Arabidopsis thaliana: one gene and its partners. Each later gene encodes a partner of the first gene's protein in a complex. Each region holds a gene or a part of one and is shown in the gene's direction. Other genes may lie near its edges.

Region 1 (5,057 bases):
GAGTATGGCTTAATACCAGTAATGAGGCTTCTAGCTCCTTGATCTTTGGTAAAATGTCAATATGAGTAAAACAAACAACTTAGCAGTGCTCTATTTTACTTTCCTGCAATGAGATTCCCAAAAACCATGGAAGAGAACTTTAAGAGACAAATTTCCAGCTATTCTACGGGTAAGGATAGCAGGCGTTTGGGCATGTTAATGTTTGCAAATTATGGACACAACAAGGATGGAGAGAACTCCATGAAAAGTTATAAAATCAATACCTCCCCCAATGTCCATGTAATTATTAATTACTCCTATAATCCCTGTAACTGTCACCACATCACCAGGGATACATATGTCCACAAGGTCTTCCATCAGCTCACATTCTACAGTTCTGGGTACCCGTCCTTCTTCGTGGTCTTCAGGCTTTTGCAATTCCTGTACCCTAAAATGCATTTGGACAGCTGGTTAACAATGGTCAGATACATAACTAACAAGGATGAAGTACACAAAATGATGAGACGCAAATAGGAGAACACCTGATTTTCTGAAAATCAATTGTCTGAGCAGAGGACCGGATTGGAGTAAACGTTTTGGACTTGCATCCATGGGAATCACATTTTAGTGGAGGAGAAAACTTTCCATCAGTAAATTCCCGGGTTATGCCAGTTTTGCACTTTCCACAGTCAAAAGCCATCTGTGTGACAAGGGGTTTCACAGTACTAACTTTAACAACAGTCCCATGAACGGTTACAAGCTTTCCTGCAATTTCAAAAGCACACACTCATGCTATGTCTCACTTAAGGTTTTACATCTTATTATTTATTTCGCTAGATGAGACAGTCTACCAATATAAGCTGCTCTCAGGTTTTTCAGGGAGATAGAAGATTCAGGATAATTATGCAGACGAACATTGATCTTCATAACATTCTCAAACTCATTAGTCTCCCATTGATCAAAAAGAACCTGTGAGAGATGACATAAGTCTTCATCTTATGCCAACCAAGAAAACAAACCCCAATGAAAAGTAATAGCATACCTTGTGAACAGCAGCATTCATACATGGGATAACTCCTTTAGGATTATCCTCTAGATTTATGAAAAAGTTCTCGATATCAGATATTTTCTTGAATTGTTGGAGATCAAGAGACAAAGAGAAGGAACCACCACCGTCTTCATTCACCTGGCTCAAGCCATGGAATAAACTTATAAACTGTTTCTCCTATTTTTAGATACTAAGAAGAACTAATTGACGCATAGAGAAGTTGATTAATCGTTTTCTATCTACCCTAATTCTTCATAGAAGTAGAGTGGAAACGAAATCTAGCTAAATAGATTACAATTTCATAACCGGAATTTAATTTCGAAATCAAGCTATACCAAGCTTTATAAAATTCAGATTTATAAACTTTTTACCAGAAATTTGATGATGGCCAAGTGAGGATGTACCTGAGAAACTATGTCTCTACCAGGTGATGCGGAGAATACGCGGATGAGCTCCGCCGTGAGCTGCAACTTATCCTCGTCGATGGCCAAATTCTCGTTGTCCTTGATGTATACAGCTAATATTTTCCCGATGCCGAGAGAATCAATTCCTGTTGATTCAGGGCGACCCGATGCCATGCTTCCACCACCGTAAAATCCCATCACCGCTTAACCCACTGTAACTCGCTCGTCGTCAGTCGCAGAGAAAAATCTCGCTTAGGCCAATGGGTTTTGGCGGGAAAAAGGTAAAGGGCTTTTTGTGATGGGTTTTTGGTAAGTGGGCCAAATGATTGAACCCTAAAACCCAAAGATAACCAAAAGAAAGGATAAAATCAATTAATAAAGCTTTAGTTGTCCGCCACGTGGACTGAACCGCACAAAAATTCACAACAACAAAAAAAAAACGAGAAACCCGTTTCTGGTTCGATTTGACGTCTTCGTTTACTTCATTTCTATAAACGAGCTCCCGCCGCCGGAAAATTCGCTGTTCATCACCACCGTGACCAGAGGTTTGTTGTGAGCACCTTCTCTATCTTTCTTTCTTCACCTGTAGGTTCTGTTATATGTTTTGTTGGGAAATGAACTGAAGAAAATTTCTGATGATTTTCTAGGGTTTTGTTTTGGTACTGCTTATGTCGACGGAATCAGAACGTATTGAATCAGTCTCAGAGGCTAATGCGTCGAGTTTAGAGGTCGGAAATGATCAAATGTCTGAAGCCCTAGCTGGTCAAGCTCAGGAGCTGAAAACAATTGGAGATGATAAAGAAGGATGCGGCAACTTTGCTTCAGCTGGTGATAATGGGATGGAGAAAGTAAATGGATTTACTAATCTTGTTAAGGAAACGGAATCTGTAAATGGAGAGTTAGATCTAGGCACTAGAACCGAAAATGTAGGTGGAGAGAGTAACCAAAGTGACAAGAAGGTTCTAGTAGATAGCGAAGAGGTCATGATGGTAGAGAAAAGGGGGCTTCTTGTTGAGAAGGAAGTGGAACCTGACATGGTCTGTTCTCATGGCGCTGATCTCAGTGATGTGAAGGTTTCTGATGGCAGACTGGATAGTGAAGACCTTGTTCAGGATAGAAAACCCGATGGCTTAGAAAAGCAAGGAACAAAAGTTGAGGACTTGGATGTTGTATGTTTTATGGGTTTAGAACCGCATGAGAGCAAGGATGAGAGTATTTTGGATGATGAAATTGCCCATGTAGCTGCGAAGGTGAAGATCTCTGACTCAGATTTGGTTTGGGCTAAAGTAAGGAGCCATCCGTGGTGGCCTGGACAGGTGTTTGATGCCTCGGCTGCAACAGACAAGGCGAAGAAGCATTTCAAGAAAGGAAGTTTCTTAGTAACTTATTTTGGAGATTGCACCTTTGCTTGGAATGAGGCGTCACGGATTAAGCCTTTTCGACAGCATTTCTCCCAAATGGCAAAGCAGAGTAGTCTACCTGATTTTATTGATGCTATTGATTTTGCGTTAGAAGAGGTATCAAGAAGGATAGAGTTTGGTTTAGCTTGTTCTTGTATCTCAGAGGAAGTCTATCAGAAGATCAAGACTCAGAATGTAATCAATCCTGGAATCCGAGAAGATTCAAGCTCAATACACGGTGGAGACAAGGTCTCAAGTGCAGTCTTCTTTGAACCTGCAAACCTTGTGGGATATGTGAAGCGTTTAGCATGCTCTCCTAGCTATGATGCTACTGATGCGCTGCAGCTTGTAAGTCAGAGAGCACAGTTATTAGCTTTTAATCGCTGGAAAGGCTATACTGACCTCCCCGAGTTTATGACACTCCAGGGGTCAGTAGAGTCTGCACCCAAGATTTCTCCTGCAGAAGAGCAAAGTAGCTTAGTGGAAGTTTCTGATCCTGAACCAACAAAGAGTAAACAAGTTTATACTAAAAGAAGAAAGACAAACCTGCAAACAGAGCAAAGTAGCTTAGTTGAAGTTTCTGATCCTGATAAAGGTGACTGTAAACACGATGGAGTGTTTGAATATGAAGAAACTATTGTTCCAAAGAAAAAGGAGAAAACTTTGGCAGAGTTCATTGCTGAGAAACGCGTAAGCAGACATAATGGGAACACATCACATGAAAAGTCTGGTAATGTTCCGCATTGCGAAAAGAAACGCAAGGTTGTGCAGTCAAAAGTTCCCAAGTCCACGAAAAAGATTAAGGCAAACCTGCAAACAGAGGATCCAGGATCTCCAGTTTCTCCCAAAAATGATCGAAAAAATAATTTGTCTGCTGGTGATAAGATTACACCACAGAAAGCTAGAAAAAGTTTCGGAATTGGGGCAAGCATATTGAAAGTGGCAAACCAGATGCATTGTTCAACACCAACCAGACTCTTACCTTGCAGTGATTCGACCTCCAAAAAGGCAGCCAAGAGCAATGGCAGTGGAAAGAGTCTTCAGGAGAAACCTAAAGCCGAAGCATTATCAGCAAGAGAAATTTCTCCTTCAACTACACTTTCAAGCCCTCACGCTGCTTCTGTTACCAAAACCACAAGTGGGAAATCCAATTCTGTCAGCCTAGACCACAACCTATCCGGAGAACTTGATCAGGTCAGAAAGGAAGCTCCTAGTACTAACCTTGTGGAGGACCCGATGTTGGAGTCTAGAGACTTGAAAGACTCTTCTAAGGAGCAGGTCGTACATGAGGATAAGAAAGAAGCTGCAAATGTAGCGGATGAGAAATCTATTATGGACAGCAATCTAACCGGGGAGAAAATCAGTGGCTTGGACTTGAGAGAGCAGCCGAGTAACAAGAACTGCTCTGGTGGATCTGATAGTTGCAAGGAAGATGTTTCTGCAGAGTAGGAAGGCTCAGCATCAGCGTCTAACCCACTAATACAGATCTTTCTAAAATCGAGTCCGGTTCTTGTTAGTACCCAAGAGTGGAATATACCTTTTAGATGGATTCTCTTCTCTTTCAAAGTTTAGAATTGTATGATTTAATCAGAGTTGAACAAACACTAGTGAGAGAATGTAACAAAGTTATTTTTGTTTTTCCAGATTTGTGCAATTTAATGGTCAATAATTCATTTGAATCCAAAACTAATTATGAATTTGAATAAATAAATTAGAATCCAAACAAAATTAACCTCAACTCGGAGGAAAATAGAATAAGAGATGTCACTGAATAAGTACATAGACATGCCTTCAAATATCAAAAAAAATTCATAAAATGTAGTAGAGCTCAAGACCTAGGCTTCTCCTTCTTTTCCTTGAAAAGGGCCAAGAGTGAGACACCAGAGACCTTCACCACTTTGAACCTAACTCCGGGAATATCTCCGACGGCATGACCTTTACGCCCAAATCCAGCAATCAACACCTCGTCCTACACACAGTATCAATGAATGAGTAATTGGTAAGAATATAATTTGATTACTCATTCAAAAGTAGATGTCAATCTAACTTACATTTTCTTCAATGTAGTTCAAACAACCATCATTGGGGACAAAGGCAGCAATCTTTTTACCATTCTTGATCAACTGAACTCTAGCACACTTACGGATAGCAGAGTTAGGCTGCTTAGCCTCAATACCACTGCATAATCAAACACAGAGTCTCATCAAAGTCAAGATCTATACTACT
Region 2 (6,150 bases), on another chromosome or scaffold:
TTGCACTTTGAATAAAGTTATACAACGTTAAAAGAAGATAAAGATATGAACACATTTTATATCAAAGGCCTTAATAAGTATATTTGGGCCTATTAAATCGAACCTTTAAACAGAAAAACTGGCCCATAAAATAACCGTGGTTGTGTTATAACAAGCCGGTTAAGTACAAACCGGAAGCGACTCGTGTTTGTTTAGTGAAGCGATCAAGCGAGCGAGATCAGTCAAATAGCTTTTTCATTGTTCCTCAGATCGAAGAAGAAGAAGAAGAGCTTAGCAACAATGGTAAATCTAGATCCGTCCAAGTGCTTTCAGTCACAGCTAATTTGATCTCTCTATTTGTTGCTTTTACGATTTCTGATTTTGTTTGGTGTGTTTGTGCTCGTTCCCGGTGAGAAGGCGGCGAAACCGATTGCGAGTCCGATTCCGGTGGCGCTGTATCCGACTTTATCGGTGTTCACTCTTGCGATTGGTCTCGTCATTACCGCTATCTTCTTCATGTAAGCTAATAATTGATCTGATCTCTAGATCTTCGAAATTGCCCCTTCTTGTTCTCAATTTATATTACTTGATGTCAGATTAGTGAAACAGTTCCTGATAGATTCGATCTACCTATGATTTATCTTGATTTTCATAAAGCTTGATTAGTGTGTGATAGTCATGACTAGGTTCTGAACTATGAATCGTGTGAGGCTCTCCTCTTGTTTGTTCACTGTGTATGAAGCTTGACCAACATTGTTACTGCTTATATATATGGTTTGGTCACAATGCTTTCTCAATTGCTATTCTCTAGAGATAGGTCTTCTAAAGCTCCTGAAGCTACATGTTCATCACTTTCATGATCTCTTTGCTAGATTAATCTGTTGAAATATGTGCCTTTCTTATTACTAAAGTTTCTGGGTAAAAAGTAAGAAAGTCATGGGACTCATCTAGTAACCTTTTGGAAATGTGTGAGCTCTATATACTATCATGATATAAAGACTCAAAATTTATCAATGATAAGGTGATAGTCTATGGAAATGGAATCAGTACTCTAATAGTTTCACTGAATATGACAAAATGACTGATTATCGATTTAGTTAAGATACAAGAAAGTTAGATTTGTATGATTTTCATTTAAGCGTGGAGCATTTACCTTTCAAAGGGTGGCAAGTTTTAGGAGATATGATTCGGTTTGTTAAAGTAATGTGCGTCTGGGCTACGAGAGCATGTGGGTTAGCCTCGAGTCAAAACTTTAAGATAGACTTGAACCATTCATTTTAGCTTCTTTGTAATAAGGTCATATTGGACTCTTTTGGTATTCATTGTGCTGGTTTAGATTCATTCAGCCCAACAAGGAGTGATCAAAACTTACCCTGTCATAACATTTGTGTTGCAGCTATGAAGCTACATCATCCAGGAAAAACCGAAGCGTCGGAAAGGAGCTCGCTACTTCAGCAGTTGCATCTGTCTTCTTGGTATGGATTTTCTTCTTCACCCTCTTGACTTAAGTTTAAGAGTTTTCTTTAAATCTAATGTTTGGTTAAAATCTGTTTCTGTGTTATTTGCAGGGTTTTGGATCGTTGTTTTTGCTACTTGCTAGTGGTGTTTATGTCTGATCCTTCTTCCTCAATACTATTCCCAACTAGTTCAAAGACAAAAAAAACAGATTTATCTTTGTTCAAGTAAAATCAGAGTTATGAATGTTAAGACTTGAGAAGTAGCCTTTAAACACCAAGTTACAATTAAATTATCTTCTTCTTTTGAACGCTAAACCGAGTTTTGGTTTCAATTTTCACCGCCTTTAGAACAGCGTTTGCGTTGTTAAGTTGATCAGTTAGTAACTTTCTACCAAGATTTAGAAGAAAGCTTTACTCAAATTTTGTAATGGGAAGATACTGATTATACTCTTTAGTGTGAAGAAATCATTTTAATTCGCTAATTTAAGTATTTGCCTATTGGGTATTTGCCGGGACGAAGTTTACTCCACGTGGCATAAATAATAATATTATAAAAAAAACAAAGGAGAGTAGAGAGAAAACGAGAGAAAAGAAGGAAATGGAAAGCGAAGCAGCAGCGACTGTTCAAGCCACCAGGCCGAGAAGAGCACCTAGGACTCCGGTGACAGCCATTTTGACGGATAAGAGAAGACGGAAACCTAAGAGCAACAACGAGTCTCAGTTACCATTTTTGCTACAGCAGAGTCAAAAGGCCACCGTTGACGACACTTACTCTCAGTGGAAGACTCTTCTTCCCATTCTCTATGATTCGTTTGTTAATCATACCCTCGTCTGGCCCTCTCTCTCTTGCAGGTCTGTGTTTTTTTTTATAGGTTTTCTGTTTCTAGGGTTTTCGATCTTTGGTTTTGGAGAAAGTTGGTTCTTTTTTGGGAAATAAAAATTCTAGCTTTGTGCTTTTGGTCAGGCGATTGAGTTACATTTCCGTTTCAGCTAGTGAAATACTCATAGATTGAGAGTTTTTCTTAGCTGGTTTCTGGAATTTGTGAGATTAGGACATGTTCTAGTTCGGGTTTTTAATTTAGCTCAGTCTCCATGCTTTTCTGTGTTTCTTTCTCTTTTAGGCTTTTAGCTCATTAGCTATCTGATGTTTCCATTTTTGAACCTCTGGAACTTGTTTTGGTAGGAAAATGATGTCGTTGATAACACTTGACCAACTCGGTTTAGGTGTTCTGTTTTGTTACTTTTTGGTTTCAGATGTTTAGCTGTGCTACGATTTAGTGAAGTGTTTAGCTTTTGTGTAAAGAGGTACGATTTCGTTGTAATCCTGTTGTTTGATTTGAGCAGATGGGGGCCACAGCTTGAGCAAGCAGGTTCTAAGACTCAACGTCTCTATCTCTCGGAACAAGTGAGTTTGCTCTTGTTCTTGTGGTTTGTACATTTTTTCTTGATGAAAAATATCCAAAGTTTGTTTACTGCTCCTTATGTTTACCGTTTTTTCTTGGTTCTGTCATTAGACGAATGGCAGTGTGCCTAATACTTTGGTCATAGCCAATTGCGAAACTGTTAATAGGCAGGTAATTAGTTTTTCTCTACCAAAGCTTGTGCTTTTGTCCTTGTGTTACTCTCTGCTGAGATGAAATTATTGAAATACCGTTTCTTTATATGCTTTCAGCTTAATGAAAAGGCACACTCTCCATTTGTGAAGAAGTACAAGACCATCATCCACCCTGGAGAGGTGTGATATTCCTGTATTCTCATTGTTTTTTCTTAGATGGATTTACTGAATCTGCATTTCGTTTAGGACTTGAGTGCTGAAAAAGATTTTGTTTTGTGTACCCTTCATTCATCGCAGGTCAACAGAATTAGGGAACTCCCTCAAAATAGCAAGATTGTAGCTACTCACACCGACAGTCCTGATGTAAGTTCTGCTTTCTCGGGTCATCAGCGTGACAAAAAAAAGGCTTTCGTTATTCAGTATCCTTGTTTTTGAATAGTTCCAGTTTCAGTCATGCAAGTATGATATATTGGTTTTCAGATTCTCATTTGGAACACTGAGACTCAACCAGACCGGTATGCTGTGCTTGGAGCTCCAGATTCTCGTCCAGATTTGGTATGCTCTTGTGAGAATTTTCGTTATGTTGTCTCACTGAGTTAAACAACCTGCTTGTGCATCATATTAACAATCGAAAGAGCTACTCTTTTTGCATCATTTGAACAACTTTTATTTTCAGTTACTAATTGGGCACCAGGATGATGCTGAATTTGCTCTTGCAATGTGCCCAACCGAACCTTTTGTTCTCTCTGGAGGTTTGTATCAGTTCTATTTTTGTGTCATATCTTGTGGTTTGCAAGTTTCTCATCAAAGATTCTTCCGTGCAGGCAAGGACAAGTCCGTTATTTTGTGGAATATCCAAGACCATATCACAATGGCTGGTTCGGATTCCAAATCCCCTGGATCCAGCTTCAAGCAGACTGGTGAAGGTAGTGATAAAACTGGTGGTCCTTCTGTTGGCCCTCGAGGCATATATAATGGCCACAAAGATACTGTTGAAGACGTGGCATTCTGTCCATCTAGGTAACTTCTTGGGACAGTCTCCTTTTTTAATAAGCTCTTAAGTTTACACCCAAATGCAGACCTACTCAGAATTTTCTGATGCTTTTGGTATAAAAAAATTGGTAATTTTTTGTTTTGTCCTACAGTGCACAAGAATTCTGCAGTGTTGGTGACGATTCTTGCCTTATGCTATGGGACGCAAGAACTGGCACTAGTCCTGCCATGAAGGTACCTCTTTTTTTTAGCCAGATCGACATTTGAGGTTTAACTTTTTGGTCTTGTTTCAGATTCCGTCTGTTTCTTCTTGTGCGCTGGCAGGTTGAGAAGGCACATGATGCTGATCTTCACTGTGTCGATTGGAATCCTCATGACAATAATCTGATCCTGACTGGGTACTGATTTCACAAACTTAAATACTTGTCCAAAAGTACAGAGATGCTACTCGTCCTCTCACTCTACGCTTCTACATCACTTTTCCAGGTCAGCAGATAACACTGTCCGTGTGTTTGACCGCCGAAACCTTACCTCAAATGGAGTTGGTTCACCTGTTTACAAATTTGAAGGCCACAGAGCTGCTGTTCTTTGTGTTCAGGTTTCAACAACATGCCACCACCTCTGTTTTTTTTTTTTGTTTTTTTCTTTTCATATTATTTGTCCTGTAAACCTATCCCCAATGACATTGCTTCGTTATCAATTCAGTGGTCTCCTGATAAATCATCTGTTTTTGGGAGTTCTGCAGAAGATGGTCTCTTGAACATATGGGATTGTGATAGGGTTAGTACAATTTCTCACATTCACATTTAAAACTATTCTCTTACTTTCAAGCTCACCATATTAACATATATGTGTGCACCAGGTTGGCAAGAAGTCTGAGCGTGCAACCAAAACTCCTGATGGGCTTTTCTTCCAGCATGCTGGTCACAGGTTCTCAAGACTTAATTCTAATTCACTTGCTTGCCTTTCCCTTTTACTCTCTTCAGTGGAATCTATAATTTCCTCGTGTATATCTTCTTAGGGACAAAGTGGTCGACTTCCACTGGAGCCTATTGAACCCTTGGACTATTGTCAGTGTTTCTGATAATTGTGAGAGTATCGGTGGAGGTGGTACATTGCAGGTACTTTTAAATGTCTTGCTACATTTACTCTGGAACCTACCTATGATTAACTTTCTCGGTAAAAATGAAAACTTTTGATTTGTAAATTAATGCAGATATGGCGGATGAGTGACTTGATTTACAGACCGGAAGATGAAGTCCTGACAGAGCTAGAGAAATTCAAGTCACATGTTTTCACATGTACCTCCAAGTCTTGAGGAAGCAATCCCATCATGTCTATTAGTATTAGTAAGTTGCTGGGGTTTAGTGTCAGTTTTTGCGAGGAAAATCAGTTTACTTATGCGATTTAGGTGTTATTTTTGCGGAATATTACTTGGTTTATGTAGGCCAGTAATTCAACATATTGGTAGATTTAGGACTTCCGGAATCTTGTATGGTACTTGATCCTGTTTCTTCAGGTTAATCCTAGGCACCTAACTTGCTTGTATTTTCAACTTTTTTTTTTGTGAATCCAAACTTGGTTAAGCAAGACCAAACTAAAACAACAGATTGAATCAGTGAAATCCAAATCTCAAGTGCTTGACATTTGACTCATGTGTCCCTGAACCGTTCAGTTCTACTTCCAACAACAAAAGCAGATAGAAAATCGTCGCTCTTCACCTCTATTCGGTTTCATTTCAAGCAAGATTGGTTCTGCGTAAACCGGGTTGAACCGGATCAACTCATTAGATCTACAAAGGATTTGTGCAATCTTAAGACCTGACATCTATACAAACTTGCAGACAATTGAACTTAATACTCTTGGGATTGTGGGGTGAGGGAGTTAGGTAGCAACATTTGAGGAAATTTATTGCATAATATCTTCTAGTAGATTCTCTCTCTCTCTCTCTCTCTCTCTCTCTCTCTCTCTCTCTCTCTCTCTCTCTCTCTAGTTAAAAACATCTAGGTACTAAGCCTTTCATGGGGTTTTGATTTATCTGACATTAAGTACACTACTCATTTATAGATATAAGACCATCTCATAGGGGCTTCTCTAGGTTTTGTTGGATTCTCATCATTGATTCATTGCAGCTATAACCAAACAAAACCTTCTTTGTCGACGCAT
Region 3 (6,063 bases), on another chromosome or scaffold:
TTTTTGCCTTTATTTCTAATCATGTAGATTAAGATCATTTTTATGATATGCGTATAAATATTGTAGAAAAGATTAAGGTGCACAATCTAGATTTGGATAGATAGAAAAAGTAGAGGCATTGGTTTAGCTATCATATGTTCTCATCACATCAAGAGACTTGGATCTTAATTAATCAATGTTTCCATATTTACTGATAAATAAAAAAGTTATAAAGTAGACAAACCGTTGATATAATTTTTCACGTCCAAAGAGAGTACGTAGATCACCTCATGACCAGGTTGCTTTATAGTGTTTAGATTGTATAGCATTCATATTCTGACTGAATCTCTAGAACATATGCTCAAATCATTTCGTTTGGAGTTTTGACCCATCCTCAAATCATATTATATATGCATTCTATGCAAGTACAAATATGAACCATTACATTTTGTTGAATTAGGTTGCATGTCTTTTTAGTTTTGCCCACATGTTTTTCGTGTGAGAATTGTGAATTCCCCATGTGAATCATAAATGAAAAGATAACATGGTGGGTCGTTCACAACTTACAATTCGGAATTATTTTAAACGTGTCTGAATTCCCTTGGCACTGTAATGATCCGTCTGTTACGTTGCCTTGGGCCTTGGGCTTTGGAGATGGACTAATATTTACACAAGTTGGGTTCAAGGTCATTGAGCTTTCTTTCAAACTATGATTAAGTAGTGGGAAATATATGATTCATATATCACTATTACTTGGTATTACAGTTCTAATACAGATTATACAGTTGATTCATATTGGTTCGCCGTCGATACTACATATAATCATGTCATGAGAACGTGTTGTTCGTGTAAAATTAACACAACAAGAAAATTACGTTTAGATGTATCAAATGTTATCCTAACAGATTTCACATGTTATATAGTCTCAACGAAAAAAATTAAAACATTTAAACTGGGTCAAAAGATGTATTTAAGCGATTTTCTTATATGGTGTAACATAAGTTGACCAAAAAGATTGAATATGAATTAGTGTGAAGATTGATTCAATGACTAAATCTAGTTTAATCATAAAATCTAAACATTTATCTTTTTTTAATAAAACTCAAACCGATAAATAATTTTGTTTTAGTAACAAATTAGATTTTATAAGTAAATTAATTTTTTTATTATTATTAAATGTCAAATTTTAATTGAATAAAATAAAAAAAGTGAATATAAGGGTTCAACTCAAATATTTTTCAATTCAATATATATAACCAAGATTTTCGTTACCACTCCACTTAAGTAATGCAGTGAATGAAAAAGAAAAAATAATCAGTGTCTAAAATCAAAATACCGTTGGTCAGTTGAATAATGAAAAAGAAAAGATCTTTGATTTTCCTTTTACTTGGTAGATTCCTACTCTTTAGGATTGAGGTTTTAATAAAAGACTTTAATCAACAAGCACTAAATTTAAGATACTGGTGTTGTGTAATAATAAGTTTGGGCCGAGCAAAAAAAGAAAAGGACTGGGCCGAGAAACGGCAAATATTTGTGTCGTTTCAAATACCAAATTCAAAATCTCCATTCTTTTATTACTCTGCTTATTAGCCGTCTAAGCATATTACAGCTGTCAATCATCGAAAGCATGTGACGCGTCTCTCTTATTTCATCCCACTCGCGTTCATATACACGTGTTATCTACTCTCTATCCGATTTCCGCCACGTAAGAATCTAGACACTGATGTTCTTATACACATAGCGAGTAAGCTGTATTTTACACTCTCGTAGCTAGTCAGTTTATTGTGATAGCGACACGGCTGATTTAGGGAAATAAATTAAAAACGTTGTCTTATTCCTGGGGCAAAAAAAAGCAGATAAGTAAGCAAAAAAAAAAACTCATTAATTACGAAAGTACCCTTAAATTTCTCCGAAAGGAAATTTTTGCGCCGCGTTTCATCTTCTCTCAAATCAAAATCCAGAGAGAAAAAAAAGAGAGGATTTTTCTCATGAGATTCTGAGAGTGTCTTTGTTCTTCTTACAAAGAAGTGTTTTTTCTTGAAGATTCTTCGGTCGCTGTTCGAAAAGTTGTTGTTTCGTTTCTCTCGGAGCTCAAAATCAGGTAAAAAATTTGTTACTTTATATTTTCGTTTTTCTAGGTTTTTCGTAAGAGTTAACCTAATTTCAAAATTTGTTTTTTTGGGAGATATTGTTGGGTTTGTGTGTAAATAGTTAGGTTGATTTTTTTTTCTGATTTGTTTGTCGTTTTGTGATTTTTTTTTTCTACAGTCGGGAAGAAAAATGGAAATTGAAGTTGTTTTGGGAATCGGAGAAGATGCGGGACCTAAGCCTTGTTCTGCAGAGATTGAATCAGCTGAGAAAACCCTAAAAGATGATGGTGTTGTTCAAGAGAACGGTGTTAGGGTTTCCGACAACGGTGAGAAAAAGTCTGATGTTGTTGTTGATGTTGACGAGAAAAATGAGAAGAATTTGAACGAATCTGGAGTTATTGAAGATTGTGTTATGAATGGAGTTTCTTCCTTGCTCAAATTGAAGGAAGATGTGGAAGAAGAAGAAGAAGAAGAAGAAGAAGAAGAAGAGGAAGAAGAAGATGGCGAAGATGAAGAAGAAGAAGAAGAAGAAGAAGAAGAAGAAGAAGAAGAAGAGCATGGATACTGTGTAGGAGATTTTGTGTGGGGAAAAATTAAGAATCATCCATGGTGGCCAGGTCAGATTTATGATCCATCAGATGCTTCAGATTTGGCTTTGAAGATAAAGCAAAAAGGGAAATTGCTTGTGGCGTGTTTCGGAGACGGGACATTTGCTTGGTGCGGTGCGTCGCAGTTGAAACCGTTTGCAGAGAGTTTCAAAGAGTGTTCGAAAGTGAGTAATTCGCGGAGTTTTCTAGGTGCAGTGGAAGAGGCGGTTGAAGAAATTGGTAGACATATTGAGCGTGTATTGGTATGTGATTGTGCTGAGGAGAAGAAGCATGAGTTTGATAGTCCTTTAGTTAACAATGCTGGGATTAAAGAAGGTGTTTTGGTGCGTGATGTGAGACGGGAAATGATTTCGTCGTTGTTGATTGGTAAACATGGAGAGATTCTTAAAGATGTTAAGAGTTTTGCAGAGACTGTTAGTTTTAGTGGCTTGCTTGAGCTGGAGATATTGAAAAGGAAGGTATCTGCGTTTTATCGGTCTAATAGAGGATATGGTTTGACTGAGTATCATGAACCTCAATCAGTTCCAGGACTTGAAGACAAGAACAATGATGATGATGATGATGATGAAGAAAAGAATGTTAATGATGGGTTACAATGGCGTGCTAAACGGTCTAGAGTAGAAGAAGTAGCAGCTTTGGATCATGAAGAGTCGTCGTCTCTTCAGAGATCGTTAGAGAAGTGTTCTGGTTTTCCTGATCATAGGCTTCCCCACAGAAGGAAGGAGAAAAGCATTACTGAAATAATTGAGAAGGAGTCAGCTGCTAAGGTTAGGTTTGAGACAGAACCTGCGGATGGAGATGTAAAGTCAAATGTTAAGTCGGGTAGGAAGAAAACAAAACGCCATGATGAAGTTAATGGTGATCTTGAAAATGTAACTACTACTGCACTGTGGAGGAGAAGAAAGAGTGAAGTAGCTACAATTGAAGACGGTGGTAACAAGCAAGTGGTAGAAAGTAGCAAAGGCAAAACTTCGAGGAAGAAGAAGAAAATGGATGTGGATGATGGCGATGATGATGGGAGTGGAGACAAAGAAGAGTCTGAGGAAAAAGAGATTTCAGATCTGGAAATAAATATCGATTCAACTTCATTAGCTTCGCTGCGGAAAAAGGTAAGGTTTGATGATTCAGTCGTTGAAAGGAGTACTGAAAATGGCGAGACCGCTACACAAACATCAAAGAGAGAGAGGAAGAAGAGCAAGTATCTCTCGCCTGATTTCTTGTCAGATTTTTCACGGAAAGGAAGAAAAAAGAGTACAATCGAATCTGAATCTTCGAAAGTTTCAAGTCAGAGCCAAGTAGACGAGCGAGTGACTGATGCTAGTGATAGCCTCATGGAAGTGGAAGAAGATACGTTGGATAAACCTTGTGAACCATCATCTGATAATGGATTAGGTCAAGAAGAACTGTCTAGGGAACTTAGTAATGCCGTCGACTTTCTGAGGTTGGGAGCTACACCAAAGGAAATGCAGGATCTAATTCGTGTAGCTGCTCTTGGCACACAATATCCAAAAGACAGTAGCTCAAGAGACATGGTAAGAGAATTCATGACCATCTATAGAAGCTTCACATATCATGATGGAGCCAATCACAAGTTCTTAGGGAGCTATGATAGTTCGGATAAAGAAAAGGAAGAACTGAGTGAGATGGGTAAGCCTGTAACTAAGGGGAAAGAGAAGAAAGATAAGAAGGGTAAAGCAAAGCAGAAAGCAGAGGAGATAGAGGTAACTGGTAAAGAAGAGAATGAGACAGACAAGCATGGGAAAATGAAGAAAGAGCGAAAACGTAAGAAGTCTGAATCAAAGAAGGAAGGGGGTGAAGGAGAAGAAACCCAGAAAGAGGCTAATGAGTCAACAAAGAAAGAGAGAAAACGTAAGAAGTCTGAATCAAAGAAGCAATCAGATGGAGAAGAAGAAACTCAGAAAGAGCCAAGTGAGTCAACTAAAAAAGAGAGAAAACGTAAGAATCCTGAATCAAAGAAGAAGGCAGAAGCAGTTGAAGAAGAAGAAACCCGGAAAGAGTCTGTTGAATCAACCAAGAAAGAGAGAAAACGGAAGAAGCCTAAACACGACGAAGAAGAAGTCCCGAATGAGACTGAGAAACCCGAGAAGAAGAAGAAAAAGAAGAGAGAGGGAAAGTCTAAAAAGAAAGAAACTGAGACGGAATTTTCAGGAGCTGAGCTATATGTTACATTTGGTCCTGGTTCAAGTTTGCCTAAAAAGGAAGATCTGATTGAAATATATGAAAAATTTGGAGCTTTGGACAAAGAGAGAACTGATACGGTCGACAACAACTTCTCTGCCCATGTGGCTTTCTTGGATGTAGCTGATGGAGAAAAAGCCTTTGAATCCTCACTAGAGAAATGTCCGTTTACTTCTAATTCGACGGTGAAATTCAGACTCAAGTATCCAAATGAGAGAACAGAGGAGAAGAAAACTGAAGCTGAAGTTGCAGAGACGACAATGGAGGTGGAATATCTGAAGAAAAAGCTGGATGAGATGAAATTGTTACTTGATGGATGCGAAGGAGGAATGACTGAAGAAGTGAAAGTGAAACTTGAAGGTGAGATGGTAAATTTGTTGGAGAAAGTGATAGAGATGAGATCTTCTTAGGATTATGATTTTATGTTTTTATTTTGTTGGTTGAGAACTTTCAGGACAGGTTTTAGGATATTTATGGTTTCTGCAAAACATAACAAAAGTATTTTGAGAGGTTAATGTCTTGGTGATACTATGATCTTGTCGTAGGGTAGACAGAATTAGATCGATGTTCTATGTTTTTGTGTAGACTTTTTTAAAGTTTACCAACTTTGATACTAAACCCATTAGTGGGCTTTTGGTTTATCACTCTCTTGAAAGCCCACTAATTTTATTATATTACAAACAAAATTTTCAAAATCCTTTCGACGAGTATTGAATGTTTGATGAAGCCATACAAAGAGGGAGGTTGGAGATTTTTATTAGAAAGGGAGTCTCGTCGAGACTGAATCATTTACGTAATGCTAATTAGTGATCCAACAACATAAATGTTCTAAGACAATGAACAAATTCAACCATTTGATTGATCACAAAAAATGTATCCAGATAATGTATAAGAGTTAATTAAGATATTTGGCCAATTTCAAATTCAATTATCAAATTCAGAACATTAGGCTTAATCATGTTTGCTTGTTCATGTTTGCTTGTTCGTTTTTGCGTTAGTTCTCGGAGAAGCTGTAGACTTCTATCTTTGAGGTTTTGTGGACGGACCTTGAATAATCATGCTCGTGGCAACTAGGATGAGGATTCCAATACTTCGGTACTGCGGCAACAACGCAAATTTCCGAGCTTCGCGGACTCGGAATCGGTGTTTCTCCTCCTAACTTGGCCTTGATCACTCATCGGCGATCC

Evidence for each region. The genes of interacting proteins can lie anywhere in the genome.
Region 2: AT3G09670 (region 1) and NFC5 share a complex: the UniProt entries of both Arabidopsis thaliana proteins name them as parts of the PRC2 (polycomb repressive complex 2) complex.
Region 3: AT3G09670 (region 1) and AT5G40340 share a complex: the UniProt entries of both Arabidopsis thaliana proteins name them as parts of the PRC2 (polycomb repressive complex 2) complex.

What each region holds. Positions count from the first base shown.
Region 1 is NC_003074.8:2,964,538-2,969,594, forward strand, and holds AT3G09670 (Tudor/PWWP/MBT superfamily protein), read left to right. Parts: upstream 1-1,663; 5' UTR 1,664-1,976; exon of another isoform or gene 1,977-1,983; intron 1,984-2,078; 5' UTR 2,079-2,099; coding exon 2,100-4,280; 3' UTR 4,281-4,521; downstream 4,522-5,057. Other genes in the region: MCM8 (minichromosome maintenance 8), read right to left, coding at 264-427, 522-744, 831-948, 1,022-1,165, 1,432-1,629; AT3G09680 (Ribosomal protein S12/S23 family protein), read right to left, coding at 4,660-4,800, 4,883-5,009. UniProt on the Arabidopsis thaliana protein: Together with PDP1, PDP3 and PDP6, interacts with MSI4/FVE and MSI5 to suppress FLC, MAF4 and MAF5 expression by regulating the function of the PRC2 complex and modulating H3K27me3 level, thereby promoting flowering.
Region 2 is NC_003075.7:14,558,407-14,564,556, reverse strand, and holds NFC5 (nucleosome/chromatin assembly factor group C5), read left to right. Parts: upstream 1-1,955; 5' UTR 1,956-2,034; coding exon 2,035-2,288; intron 2,289-2,780; coding exon 2,781-2,841; intron 2,842-2,950; coding exon 2,951-3,010; intron 3,011-3,108; coding exon 3,109-3,171; intron 3,172-3,288; coding exon 3,289-3,354; intron 3,355-3,471; coding exon 3,472-3,546; intron 3,547-3,667; coding exon 3,668-3,743; intron 3,744-3,815; coding exon 3,816-4,011; intron 4,012-4,136; coding exon 4,137-4,218; intron 4,219-4,308; coding exon 4,309-4,382; intron 4,383-4,470; coding exon 4,471-4,582; intron 4,583-4,689; coding exon 4,690-4,764; intron 4,765-4,846; coding exon 4,847-4,914; coding exon of another isoform or gene 4,915-5,005; coding exon 5,006-5,105; intron 5,106-5,200; coding exon 5,201-5,302; 3' UTR 5,303-5,630; downstream 5,631-6,150. Other genes in the region: AT4G29735 (uncharacterized protein), read left to right, coding at 280-282, 397-497, 1,119-1,184, 1,376-1,454, 1,548-1,595. UniProt on the Arabidopsis thaliana protein: Core histone-binding subunit that may target chromatin assembly factors, chromatin remodeling factors and histone deacetylases to their histone substrates in a manner that is regulated by nucleosomal DNA.
Region 3 is NC_003076.8:16,130,877-16,136,939, reverse strand, and holds AT5G40340 (Tudor/PWWP/MBT superfamily protein), read left to right. Parts: upstream 1-1,546; 5' UTR 1,547-2,080; intron 2,081-2,247; 5' UTR 2,248-2,259; coding exon 2,260-5,286; 3' UTR 5,287-5,543; downstream 5,544-6,063. UniProt on the Arabidopsis thaliana protein: Together with PDP1, PDP2 and PDP6, interacts with MSI4/FVE and MSI5 to suppress FLC, MAF4 and MAF5 expression by regulating the function of the PRC2 complex and modulating H3K27me3 level, thereby promoting flowering.